Sus scrofa: one gene and its partner. The protein of the gene in region 1 interacts with the protein of each later gene in a biochemical or structural test. Links are inferred from orthologs where the notes say so. Each region holds a gene or a part of one and is shown in the gene's direction. Other genes may lie near its edges.

Region 1 (3,980 bases):
GGTGGAACAAGGGCTAGCTGCATTCATGTCCATTCTGGACACAGCTGACCACATAGGGCTAGGAGATGACAAGAAGGAAGGGCTTTGTGCCCTCGTCTCCTTTTCCTTCTCCCCCTCCTCTTTGTTTTTAGGGGAGGACTAGGAAGACATTGAGAACTTGTACAAATTTTGTTTTTGACTTTTCAGCGGCCCCTGGAAAAACCTGCACTGGCCTTTATCCATTTGTTATTAGGCTGTGGGTCCTGAGAGCAGGGCTTGGATCTCTGTTTTTATCTCCATTTCCTGAACAATGGATGAACAGTGGGTGAAATCCCTTCCTCCTTCTCCTAAATTCTGAAGATATTCCATTCTTAGAATAGTTCCTTAAATGGAACCCTTTCATTCGCAGTTCCTCAATGAAGTCTTGATAGCCATCAGCCATTTTCACTATTAACTCTCCCCACCATTTTACTATTTTCAAAAATCCCTCTATTTAAGCTCCTTACTTTTAAGAGCTTCCTTTTGCTTTTCCATCCCATTTCTTCTTTGTAGTGTTGCTTTACCTGTTGCTCAAACTTCCATGATGCAGGAGACCATAGATTTGCTGCCAGTACCAGCATACTACTATCAAGTTGTCAAAAATCGCAGTGGAAGGAGCCCTGGACTGGAGCTAGGTGAGCTAATTCTGGGCTGCTGCCGCTGATTAGCCTATATTCTTGGGCAAATTGCTTCCCTACCCTGGACCTCTGTTTCCTTATCTTAAACTGAGAGAGTGGGTCAAGTTAGGATTCCAAGGTGCATTCCAAAAGTGAAACTCTGTGGTCAGCAAACCTCTAAACAACTGTTACACTACAAGTCTCCCCGGACTTCCCTTTATTGGCCCAAGGGTACTGTCTCAGTGAAAGGCTATCAGGTTTGCTGGAAAGAGACTTTCGATTTGAAAGACATGATCTCTGTATTTCCAGTTTTGTCACTAATTCTGGGCAAACTTAAGCAGATTCTTCTCTCTGCACCTCAGAGCAGGGAGGTAGGTCCCTGTTACGCGGAAGAGGCTCGAAGATCTGGGAGTGACTTAGAGAGGTTTTCCGGATTCTCTTTCGACAACTTGAGTGGCTCAGGCAGGGAGCGTGGTCCCGGCCCTCCCATAGTCCCGCTCCCAGGTGTAATCGAAACTTAAACTAGCCGTGCCTGCCAAGTTGCGGCTCGGCTGCGGTAGCTACAGGTGAGCTATTAAAGGCGCCGCCAGAGATTGGGGCTGATGACTAGGCGGAGGTTGCAGGCAAGGGGGAATGAATGAGTGAGTGAAAAAGAACGAATTTTCTCTTCCCATTCTTAAATGCCTTTATACTTGGAATTAATCACATAGACTTAAAAATGCTCCAATAAAACCCTCAAATTCCTATCAAATTAACGAATATCCCTATTTTACCTGCCCTTCTTTCAGTCCCCCCCCCAACTTTTACTGAGGGACTAATAGTAACTTTAAAAAAATTATTACAAAGTGTATGAGTGCAGAGACGGCGCGCCCCCCCGCCCAAACTCCTTCCTTTTCCTCCCTCCTGCGGTGGGTGGGTGGCGGATTCGACCCCTCCCCGAGCACGCTTTTCCAGGTTGGGGATCCACCTCCGGGGGCTCCAAGTACTATCTCCTGCCCAGGAATTGAAAACAGCACGTGCTTAGTGAGATTAAAGGATGTCTCGGAATGTGTGTCTTGGATCTGGTGTAGGTGAGGTTAGGTCTTTCCACACCCTGACCCTTCCGGGCCTGGCGCGCCACTTGCTTAGAAACGCTGGACACACCGGCGGGTTTGGGCGAAGAGAAGGAGGGGTAGAGGCGGGCTCTTCCAGGCCCCCCAGACCACCTGTAGAGTCTGTTTGTCAACTCCTTTGTCCTCAGAGCCACTTCGATGGCCTCCCCCTTTAAACGAAGAGGTTTGCTTAGACGCTCCCCGGGCCCCTTTCGCGTTCCCCACCCCGCTCCAGGCCCTCCTCCCCCTTCCAACCCAAAGGTAGCACAGCGGAGAGCCCCGGGCTCCGCGCGAGCCGCCTCCTCACTTCCCATTGGCTGAGAGCGCCGGGAGAGCGGTCACGTGGGGGCGCGGCAGTTCAGCTTCAGGGCCGCCATCTTGGCGGAAAGTTTGGGGGGAGAGCGGTTGGGGGCGCGGAAGGAGGCGAGGTTCCGGGGGTGGGGCGGCCAGGAGCCGAGCGGGCGAGCGGGCTAGCGGGCCGCGGCGAGTGAGTAGGCACCAGCGGCGGCGGCGGCGGAGGAGGAAGAGGCCGTGGGGGTGCGGCAACCGAGGGGAGCTCCTCCCCCGTTCCCTCACCCCTCTCTGCTTAGCTCCGCGAGCCCCGGGCGGGGCGGGGGGACGTGGAGCGGGGCAGGGCGGGGGAGCCGCCCCGAGACCGGCCGGAGCGCACCGCTGCTCGGAGCGCACGGCACTGGCAGGAACTTTGTGGCGGCGCCGCAGGTGTGGGGGCCCGCGGAGGTGTGCATGTGGGTCGCGAGGGCGTCGCGGAGAGCGGCCGCTTCCCTGTCTGGACCCTGCTGGAGTAGCTCGGAGGAAGCGAGCTGGAGACAGGCAAGCGAGAGGAGGGGTCCGGGCAGGGCGGGGTGATCAGTCCAGCTGGCCCCTTCTCTGAGCGCTTTACGGCCGCCTCTGGCTTAGGGGCCAAGGGTCGGAGCGACTTCCTCACCCTTCCAGTAGTAGGTGAGAACTATGCACGCTTCTGCCGGGAGAGGGGTGGCCCCATGTCTGGGCATTTAGTGCTCTCTTGAGAGGGAGCAGCTTTCGAGGAGAATTTTGAAGCTTCTGTCAGCTCTTAATTTGCAGGGGTACCCACCGTAGTTTAAAGCTTTCTAGATTGACTGACACTGCTGGGTTTTGAGGTTCTTCTTTTCACTTAGGAAAACTTTGCCAGGTGGGCTTTTCAAATGGGGCTGGGGGGTTTTCGATTTGAGAGTTAGGGGGAAATGCTAATTTAACCACGATTCTCTTCTTTAGTTCTCTTTCCTTTTTGTTTTGTTCTTTAAAGGTGTGTGCCTCTTCCTGATTCTGGAGGAAAATGCCGGTCCGGAAGCAAGGTGAGAATTTACGTGGGAACTCTCTTGTGGGTGTCACTTGCTTTTCCGTATGTCTATTTTGTTTTAAATATGTTTGTGTAATTCTGAAAGACATCACAATCCTACTCTTTCTGCTTCGGGAATCTAAGCCTCACATCATTCAGAAGATGGAAACACCTCATTGTTGGTCAAACTTTTTTCCTTGTGTCTCTCTAGTGACTGGAGAGGCAATTCACTTTTTTTTCTGAAATGTCTTTTTTAAAATTCTGTGTTGGTGTTTCAATATTTGGCTTTATTATTACTAAGCACTATTTTGTGGGCTAATGTGGGAGACTGGCTAAGAGCTAGTAATTTTGAAACAATATTTGGGTTATAATGATGAGTTGTGGATAATCCGCTTTTGTATATCAGATCACCTGAAACTATATTACTAATATTTTGATCAAGTGATCTTTTATGGGGTAGACTGCTAGTACACATTTATTACAAACTACTCACCTTTTGTTCATCTACCGTGACATGTTTAAATTTTTTTTGGATCATTCTAGGGAATATATTTGTGTGCATGATCATATAGCATGGATTGACTTGGAGGGTTTGGGGAACTGTTTAGATGTCTTGCACAATCATTTGCTACACAGCTAACATGTAATATTTTCTTGTAAATATATAATTTTAATCAGACTTTTTTATTCTTTTCAGATACCCAGAGAGCATTACACCTTTTGGAAGACTATCGTTCAAAACTAAGCCAAACTGAAGACAGACAGCTCAGAAGTTCCATAGAACGGGTTATTAACATATTTCAGAGCAACCTTTTTCAGGCTTTAATAGGTGGGAATCAAAACTTTATTGGTGGTCATTATGTGTCAGCTAGACTTATTGTTTCTCTGAATTCATTTATTTTAAACTTAAAGAGAGTGATGTATTTGGTTCTCTGT
Region 2 (7,632 bases), on another chromosome or scaffold:
ATGAGGGTTAAATTTGATGGGGGAGAAAAAAAAGACTTGTCATGAAGATAATCAGAACATGGTCAAATATATTTTAAGATACTAGAGAAAAGAAGACATATTTGAATGGAACTGGGGAAAGGCAGTATAATCTATACCACCTAAATTTAACACATAAAAAAAGAAGTTGGAAGAGGGTAGGCAAAGATAAATTGTTTTGTTTTGTTTTGTGTTTTTAAGTTCAAGATGGCAAAATGATATAGTTGAAAATAAAACAAGATAATGGGAGAGACAGATTTGATGAGAAAAAAACAATAATGAGGTTAGATTTGTCTATTTTCATTTGGAAAAAGACTAAAGGAATAAAATAAGCAAATGAGTAAGAAATTAAAGTCTCCATTGTTGGCAAACTGAAAATTCAGTACATAGTTCCATTGATTTTAGATGACATGAAATATGACATAAAAAGCTAGCCTTCCCTTCAGAAGTTTTATCACCAAGCTCAATAATATGAACTCCTGCAAGTTTTCATTTCAAAAGTTTGAGATATGGAAGATCTTTAAAAAAAAAAAAAAAAAATAGCTACTATTTTTCACCCAGAGTCTGTTAATCCTGTTGGAAGAAGCCACCTATGAAGTGAGTTTTCCACGGGGGAACAAAATCAGTTTTCAGGTTTTAATTTAATGTAATATGTAACTTAATTTATGGCTCATAGTCACGATGAAAACATTCATGAAATTTAACAAAAAATATTAATAAACTGAGTATATGGAGCACTTTCATATAGAAAAGAGTCAAAATGAGGAGTTCCTGTCGTGGCGCAGTGGAAACAAATCTGACTAGGAACCATGAGGTTGTGGGTTCAATCCCTGGCCTTGTTCAGTGGGTTAAGGCGTTGCTGTGGCTCCAAAATAGGCTGGTAGCTACAGTTCTGATTAGACCCCTAGCCTGGGAACCTCCACATACTGCCAGTGTAGCCCTAAAAGGAGAAAAAGACAAAAAAAAAAGAAAAGAGTCAAAATGATTGTGCCGTTCAAAGTGAAAATTGTCTTGTGTTAACTTATATGAAATCTTGAGGTAACAGTCTTATATTAAGATTATGCAAATAAAAAAAAAGATTATGCAATATTACTGACAAATATTTGAACCTTTTTAAGCAAGTATTTATGTAACATTATTGTTCATTTTAACTAATCAAACTTATCTTCTTGCAGATGTGCCAAACACTGGTGTAAACAAACCTAGGGTTTCTGACACTGTCCATCCCAACAACTATCTCATCAGGACAGAGCCAGAACAAGGGACCCTCTATTCACCAGAACAGACATCTCTCCATGAAAGTGAGGGTCTGTTGTATTATCTTTTAAGTATTAGATGTGCTTTTAATATTTCTTTTTTGAAAATGAGCACCTGGAGTATAAAATGAAAATATTTCCTTCTGGTTTCATTCCTGCAGGATCATTGGGTAACTCAAGAAGTTCAACACAAATGAATTCTTATTCCGACAGTGGATACCAGGAAGCAGGGAGTTTCCACAACAGTCAGAATTTGAGTAAGACAGATAATAGACCACAACATTCATTCATAGGATCAACTAATAACCACCTGGTGAGGAATTCAAGAGCTGAAGGACAAACACTGGTTCAGGTAAGCCAAACACATCAAGATCCTTGTCAAGAAACAACCTCCTAATTGAATATCTACTATAAGTATTATTAAAAGTAAAGCCAATACAATTTTGAAGTTATGAAATAAAGTAGCAAAATCATTTTACACTGTGAGTCTACAATGTTAAGGCATGAAACCTTAAAATATATTAGTTCCTACTATTGAATCCTGATCAATTCAAGACATAGGATAATAATTTTTCTGGAAGCAGCAAGTTTGGCATGAGGGGAATAGTCTAGGGAGAATATGAGAGAGCTAGGTGGAATGTTCTAGTCCCTGAGGGTTATGAATTCCTGAAAATACTAGAGCTAAAATATTCTATAAAGAGTCCTAGAGAGCAGAGCACTATTCCCACACTTGCAAAACTCAACTTGGCCATTTCTAACCAAAGTTTTTGTCTTCATCTTCAGAATTGTTCTCTGAAAACACTCTTCTTTCCTTTGCTAGAACATAGATGAAATATGTTCAATGTGTACAATAGCTATGGAAAGCTATTGTATGGAAGCATAACCTTTCTGTTAAGTTTGGGGTTTCTTACTTGATGTGATAGTCACTAGTAATAATAATAATGCATATGCATTTATAAAAACTCTTGAGCTCTGCATTCACTGCTGCTTTATTCCCATCAATCCTCCAGCATACACCAGAATTAATAGAAGTGCTACGAGTCCCAACTAGCAGTAACCAGTGAGGATGACTGTCTGTCCAAGTACCCTAGCGATTTCTCTGGAGCAGAAAAGTGGCAAGATGATCAAAAAAATTAGGCAAACACTAAGCTTCTCTTAGTACAATATAGGAAGCCCTGAAGGTACACACAGCAGTGGGCCAGGATTCCCAGTGCCAAAGGAGAAACACAGTATAACTTTGGCCCAACAGTTTAAGGGAAATTTTTAAGCATTAAGAAGCGTTTCTGTATTAAAGCAAATGCAAATATGATACATGAGTTCTTAAGCTAAGATAGGAAATCCTGTACCCCTAGCAAACTACTTCTAGCTGTACCACGCCCCACCACCTCCCCTACTTCCACCACCTCCCCTACTTCCACTATCCCACCCCAGCACCACTGTTCCTCAGAGGTACATTTACTCTTCTGATGGAAGAGTTCGGGAAGCTTTGGACTAAGTCCTTACAGGAGTTCATGTGCTTAGGTGAATTTTCTGCATCAGCAGGTCTAAAGTCACGTTTCTGAATACTAATTAACTATAGAGATTATCCATTTTGTCCCTAAAAATGGTCATGTTACCTTTTTATTTAATTTTTTTTTTACTTACAGCAAGATGATTTTGTTCCTGGAGCTGAAGATTGCAAGAGGGTCTTTAAAACTGCTTTTGCAATAAAACTGCTTTTGCATATAGTCTTGGCATCACAATTTCTAAGTATCTGGGCCAAGTGTCATCCCATTTTTGATAGTAAACAGCTAATATGTGGAATTTTTTAAAAATCACCTTTTGCACTATTAGTAAACCCCAAAAGCAGTTCTTTTTCCAATGGTCTACTAATTTTTATACCCCCTCTTTCTTGTTGTGTATTTACAGTCCCCTCCCCAGATCTCCACAGCTATTGCCTTCCCAGAATTGTTGAGTTTGAGCACACAAGTGGTCTTAGAGCAGGTGTTTCAGCCAGCCAGCTGCTTCTGACACCTGGACACAAAGAGAGTCCTTAAGTTATCCCTGTTTCTTCCTTTCTTACCCCGGCTAAAAGTGGGGTTGATGACACCTGTACTGTAGCAGTCACTGGGGAGATACCAAGCCACCCAGTCCTAGAGTCCATGTCCCTGCCTGGTCCCATCAGACCAGTGCCCCAGTCCAGCCACCATTCATTATTCTGCTGCATCAAGGAAAGGATCTGAGACTCAGTCTGGAAGAGTCTACAGATTCAAAAAAGGACCAGTCATGGCAGAAATGTTCTTCATTTCCCAGTATGGTCTTTTCCAGCTGGCTAGGCCAAGAACCCAGCCGAGATTTTGAGCATTCCTTTTGCTGGAACAAATTTGAGGGCACCTTGACATGCGTCTCTTTAAATCCACCAGCTAAAATTAAAAGCTTATAAATCAAAGGATGTAGAAACGGCTGAAATCACTAGCAGCCACACTTGAGCTAAAAGAAGAGACAGATTGGCTAAAGCGCCTGTGCACCCAAGTTGTCCCTTGAGAGTAAATTGACAGAGAAGAGTACTGCACCCCAGGCCCTATCCAAACATTCAGTTACTCCACTTTGAAAGAGTACATTCCTTTTGTTAATGGGGGCCAATCCATGAAGACAGTTCTAAAGACAATTATAGATACTCCTCTCACTATATTTAGATTAACGTATTGAAAACATTTTTTGTTTGTTTGTTTTACACAAATGCATTATCTTCGCCAAACTTTAACTCACAGGCACCACATAAGTATACTGCTCCAGTGACCCTTCACACTTGCAATACAACATATTGTGTGTTGTGGAGAATGAATAGGCAGAGGGTTAAAAAATGTAAAGACAAACGTAAAAGGAATGTTAACTGTCTTTAGATCTCTCTTTACTGGTTGGTTTTAGTATGCCGAAGGGAGAACGTAAGGGTTTAATCACCAAAAAAAAAAAGAATAAGGAAAAATTAAGATCCAGCTCTAAAGCATAGAAAGGAAAAGAAACTTAGAAGCCTAAACTAAATAGTGAGTGCACATTCTGTAGTGAGCTGTGTGCATTTTTTTCTGTAATGACAATGGAGACAAAACCCTGGATAAACCCATTCTCTTTTTTCCCCCTTTCATCAGCCATCAGTAGCCAATCGGGCCATGAGAAGAGTTAGTTCAGTTCCATCTAGAGCACAGTCTCCTTCTTATGTTATCAGCACAGGCGTGTCTCCTTCAAGGGGGTCACTGAGAACTTCTCTGGGTGGTGGCTTTGGCTCTCCATCAGTGACCGACTCCCGACCACTGAACCCCAGTGCGTACTCCTCCACCACGCTACCTGCTCAGCGGGCAGCCTCTCCGTACTCTGCACAGAGACCCGCCTCCCCATCAGCTGTACGTCGGATTGGGTCAGTCACCTCCCGGCAGACCTCCAACCCCAACGGACCAACCCCTCAGTACCAAACCACCACCAGAGTGGGGTCCCCGCTGACCCTTACGGATGCACAGACTCGAGTAGCTTCCCCATCCCAAGGCCAGGTGGGGTCATCATCCCCCAAACGCTCAGGGATGACCGCCGTACCACAGCATCTGGGACCTTCCCTGCAGAGGACTGTTCATGACATGGAACAATTCGGACAGCAGCAGTATGACATTTACGAGAGGATGGTTCCACCTCGGCCAGACAGCCTGACAGGTGAGTACAAGGTGACAGCACTGCACACAGCCCAGTGGGGAAATCTTCTGTGAGGCCTCTCTGAAATAGAAAAGGCTTCCACATCGCCGTAATGTGGGAAAAGCTTATATTTTTATCTCAGAATTTATACTGCAGACCTTAGGCTGACTTGTCTTTCAGACTTTCTAATTTTTAATGCATCTAATTATATATACATATATATTTATTTATATCATCAGACTTCTTTTACAATGAATATATGTACCCCTTCCCCTATAATATTAGGATATACAAGGTACTTTTTTTTTTTGCATTTTAGAAGAATTGGTTGGAGTTGTAAACTGTTTGTTGAAGTTTTTCATAGTGAAATATTTCTCACTAGCTAGGCCTACCCATACCCAAACCAATAAGTTATGTTAAAAGGTGTCGTCAGAATGCCTGTTCAAGGAGTTCCCATTATGGCTCAGTGAAAATGAATCTGATTAGTATCCATGAGGACACAGATTTGATCCCTGGCCTCACTCAGTGGGTTAAGGATCCGGCCTTGCCATGAGCTGTGGTGTAGGTCGCAGATGCAGCTGAGATCTGGTGTTGCTGTGGTTGTGGCGTGGGCCAACGGCTGTAACTCCTCAACCCCTAGCCTGGGACCCTCCATGTGCCACAAGTGCAGTCCTAAAAAGACCCCCCCAAAAAAGAAGAAGAAGAATGTCTGTTCAAATTTTTTTTTTTTTTTTTTTTTAGAAGTTCACATTGTGGCTGAGTGGGTTACAAACTTGACTAGTGTCCATAGTAAGGATGCAATTTTGATTCCTGCCCTTGCTCAGTGAATCAAGGATTCAGCATTGCGTGAGCTGTGGTGTAGGTCATAGACATGGCTTGAATCTTATGTTGCTGTGGCTGTGGTGGAGGCTGGCAGCTGCAGCTCCAATTCAACCCCTAAACCAGGCACTTCCATTTTCTTCAGGTGCAACCCTCAAAGGAAAAAAAAAAAAAATGTTTTTTTAAATGCCTTAATAGTGCAGACTAAAATGTGGATTTCCTTACCTACTGCCTTGATTTTTAGCATCCTGATGGGAAACGCACCAAGTTCTTACAGTTTATCTTCGTATGTCACTTGGATTAAATTAGAAAAACATCAACCATGTTGCTGATATTACAGACACTTCTGAGTTTTTTCATGATGGATTTCCCACATACTGTATAGACTTTGTTATTTTAATTCAAATGAAACTCATCTTAAGTGTTTAAATGCTATTTTAAAAGTAACATGTATACAATGGTTAAAATTAAAACTCTGCAGGAAAATATAAAATGAGAGGTGAAAGTCTCACCTTCCTCTTAACTCTCACCCAACCCCACTCCCCAGTGTATGTATCTTCCAGAATGTTTGATTACATATATAGATATATATGTTACAAACTGATGTACATGCATTTTTTTAATGCTGTTGCTTTTATATATATCTTCTAGACCTTGTTCTTTTTTAAAAATATGTCTGAAAGTTCTCAAGGGATGCCCAGGACCCTATTTTATAGATGTAGCATAATTTCTTTAATCACTTCTATTAATAGACTTTTAGGTTGTTTCTTATTTTTAGCTCTTAGAGACAGTGATACAATATATATCATTCTTCCTGCTTGTTTGCACATGGGTACTAAGACAACTGTGCGGTTCATTTCTGGACGTACAATTGCTGGATCAAAATATGTGTGTATATTTTCCTAAAGAAATTCTGTCAAATGGCCCCCAGGAAGGTTTTATAGATTTCTGTTTCCCCCAGCCTGTTTCCTAGACCTTCACCAGCCCTGCATATTGTCAAAGTGTTTCATCTCTGCCAGTCTGGCACTTAAAAAGCTGTACCTCATTGTTTTAAGTTGCCTGTGTTGAGTTGATTGAGGTCGATGATTTCATATGTTTATCAGCCGTTCTATTGCTTTTCTGTAAACCACAAGTTTGGGATTTTTGTCCATTTTTATAATTTGTAAACATTTTTTTATACTTGAAATAAATTAGCCCTTTATAATATACTTTTCAAGGGTTTTTTTGTTTTGTAATTTGTTTTCCAACTTTTTTTTTGGTATTTCTTATTTATAGAAGTTTTTGATACTTTTGTGTGATAAAATTATTATCCTTTCCTTATGGCTTCTAAGAAAGGTAAAGCCATTTTGAGGTTTTCTAATTGAATGCTTTTGCTCAGAGAATTAATATTGAACCTGATTTTGAGTTAAAGGAAATTCCTAGTGGAGAAACCACTTCTTTTTTATTCAGCCATCAGAAAGGTGTCCTTGGCTTAGATATTTTCTGTGTGCCTCTGAAACGTATGCAGCAGAGTCAGGTAGGAATCATTTATGACATTCTGCCGCTGAAGGAAACCTTAAGAGATAAATACTTCACAAGATTTCTCTTCCCCCATTCGCACCCCCCTTGTGTATGTACAACATCTATGCAGAAATCTATTTTTGTAGTAGAGTGAAAAGGAAGCCCAGGAAAGAAAGTGAGCACATAAAGAACTGTCTCCATGTTTAACCCTGAGGGCTAATCTCCTTTGGCTTAAAAAGCCTGCTTCTCTGGCAGTGCAGATGATTAGACTTTGTTTCAGGGGGGAAAAAATTATACCTAGCCTATTACAGATTTTTTTTTCTTCCAGAATACGACAGTCTTCAAAAGAATCAAAGGCTTTCTTAGAAGTATTCTAGGGAGG

What was found.
Region 2: the proteins of DLG1 (region 1) and PKP4 interact in a test that uses a peptide from one of them, tested with the Homo sapiens proteins (2 studies listed by IntAct, with this or other methods). The link is inferred for Sus scrofa from reciprocal best matches to the Homo sapiens genes DLG1 and PKP4.

Annotation. Positions count from the first base shown.
Region 1 is NC_010455.5:132,818,751-132,822,730, forward strand, and holds the start of DLG1 (disks large homolog 1), read left to right. Parts: upstream 1-1,180; 5' UTR 1,181-1,201; intron 1,202-2,116; exon of another isoform or gene 2,117-2,686; intron 2,687-2,700; exon of another isoform or gene 2,701-2,897; intron 2,898-3,011; 5' UTR 3,012-3,041; coding exon 3,042-3,060; intron 3,061-3,741; coding exon 3,742-3,873; intron 3,874-3,980. UniProt on the Homo sapiens protein: Essential multidomain scaffolding protein required for normal development. Recruits channels, receptors and signaling molecules to discrete plasma membrane domains in polarized cells.
Region 2 is NC_010457.5:65,617,443-65,625,074, forward strand, and holds part of PKP4 (plakophilin-4), read left to right. Parts: intron 1-1,193; coding exon 1,194-1,325; intron 1,326-1,435; coding exon 1,436-1,626; intron 1,627-4,399; coding exon 4,400-4,952; intron 4,953-7,632. UniProt on the Homo sapiens protein: Plays a role as a regulator of Rho activity during cytokinesis. May play a role in junctional plaques.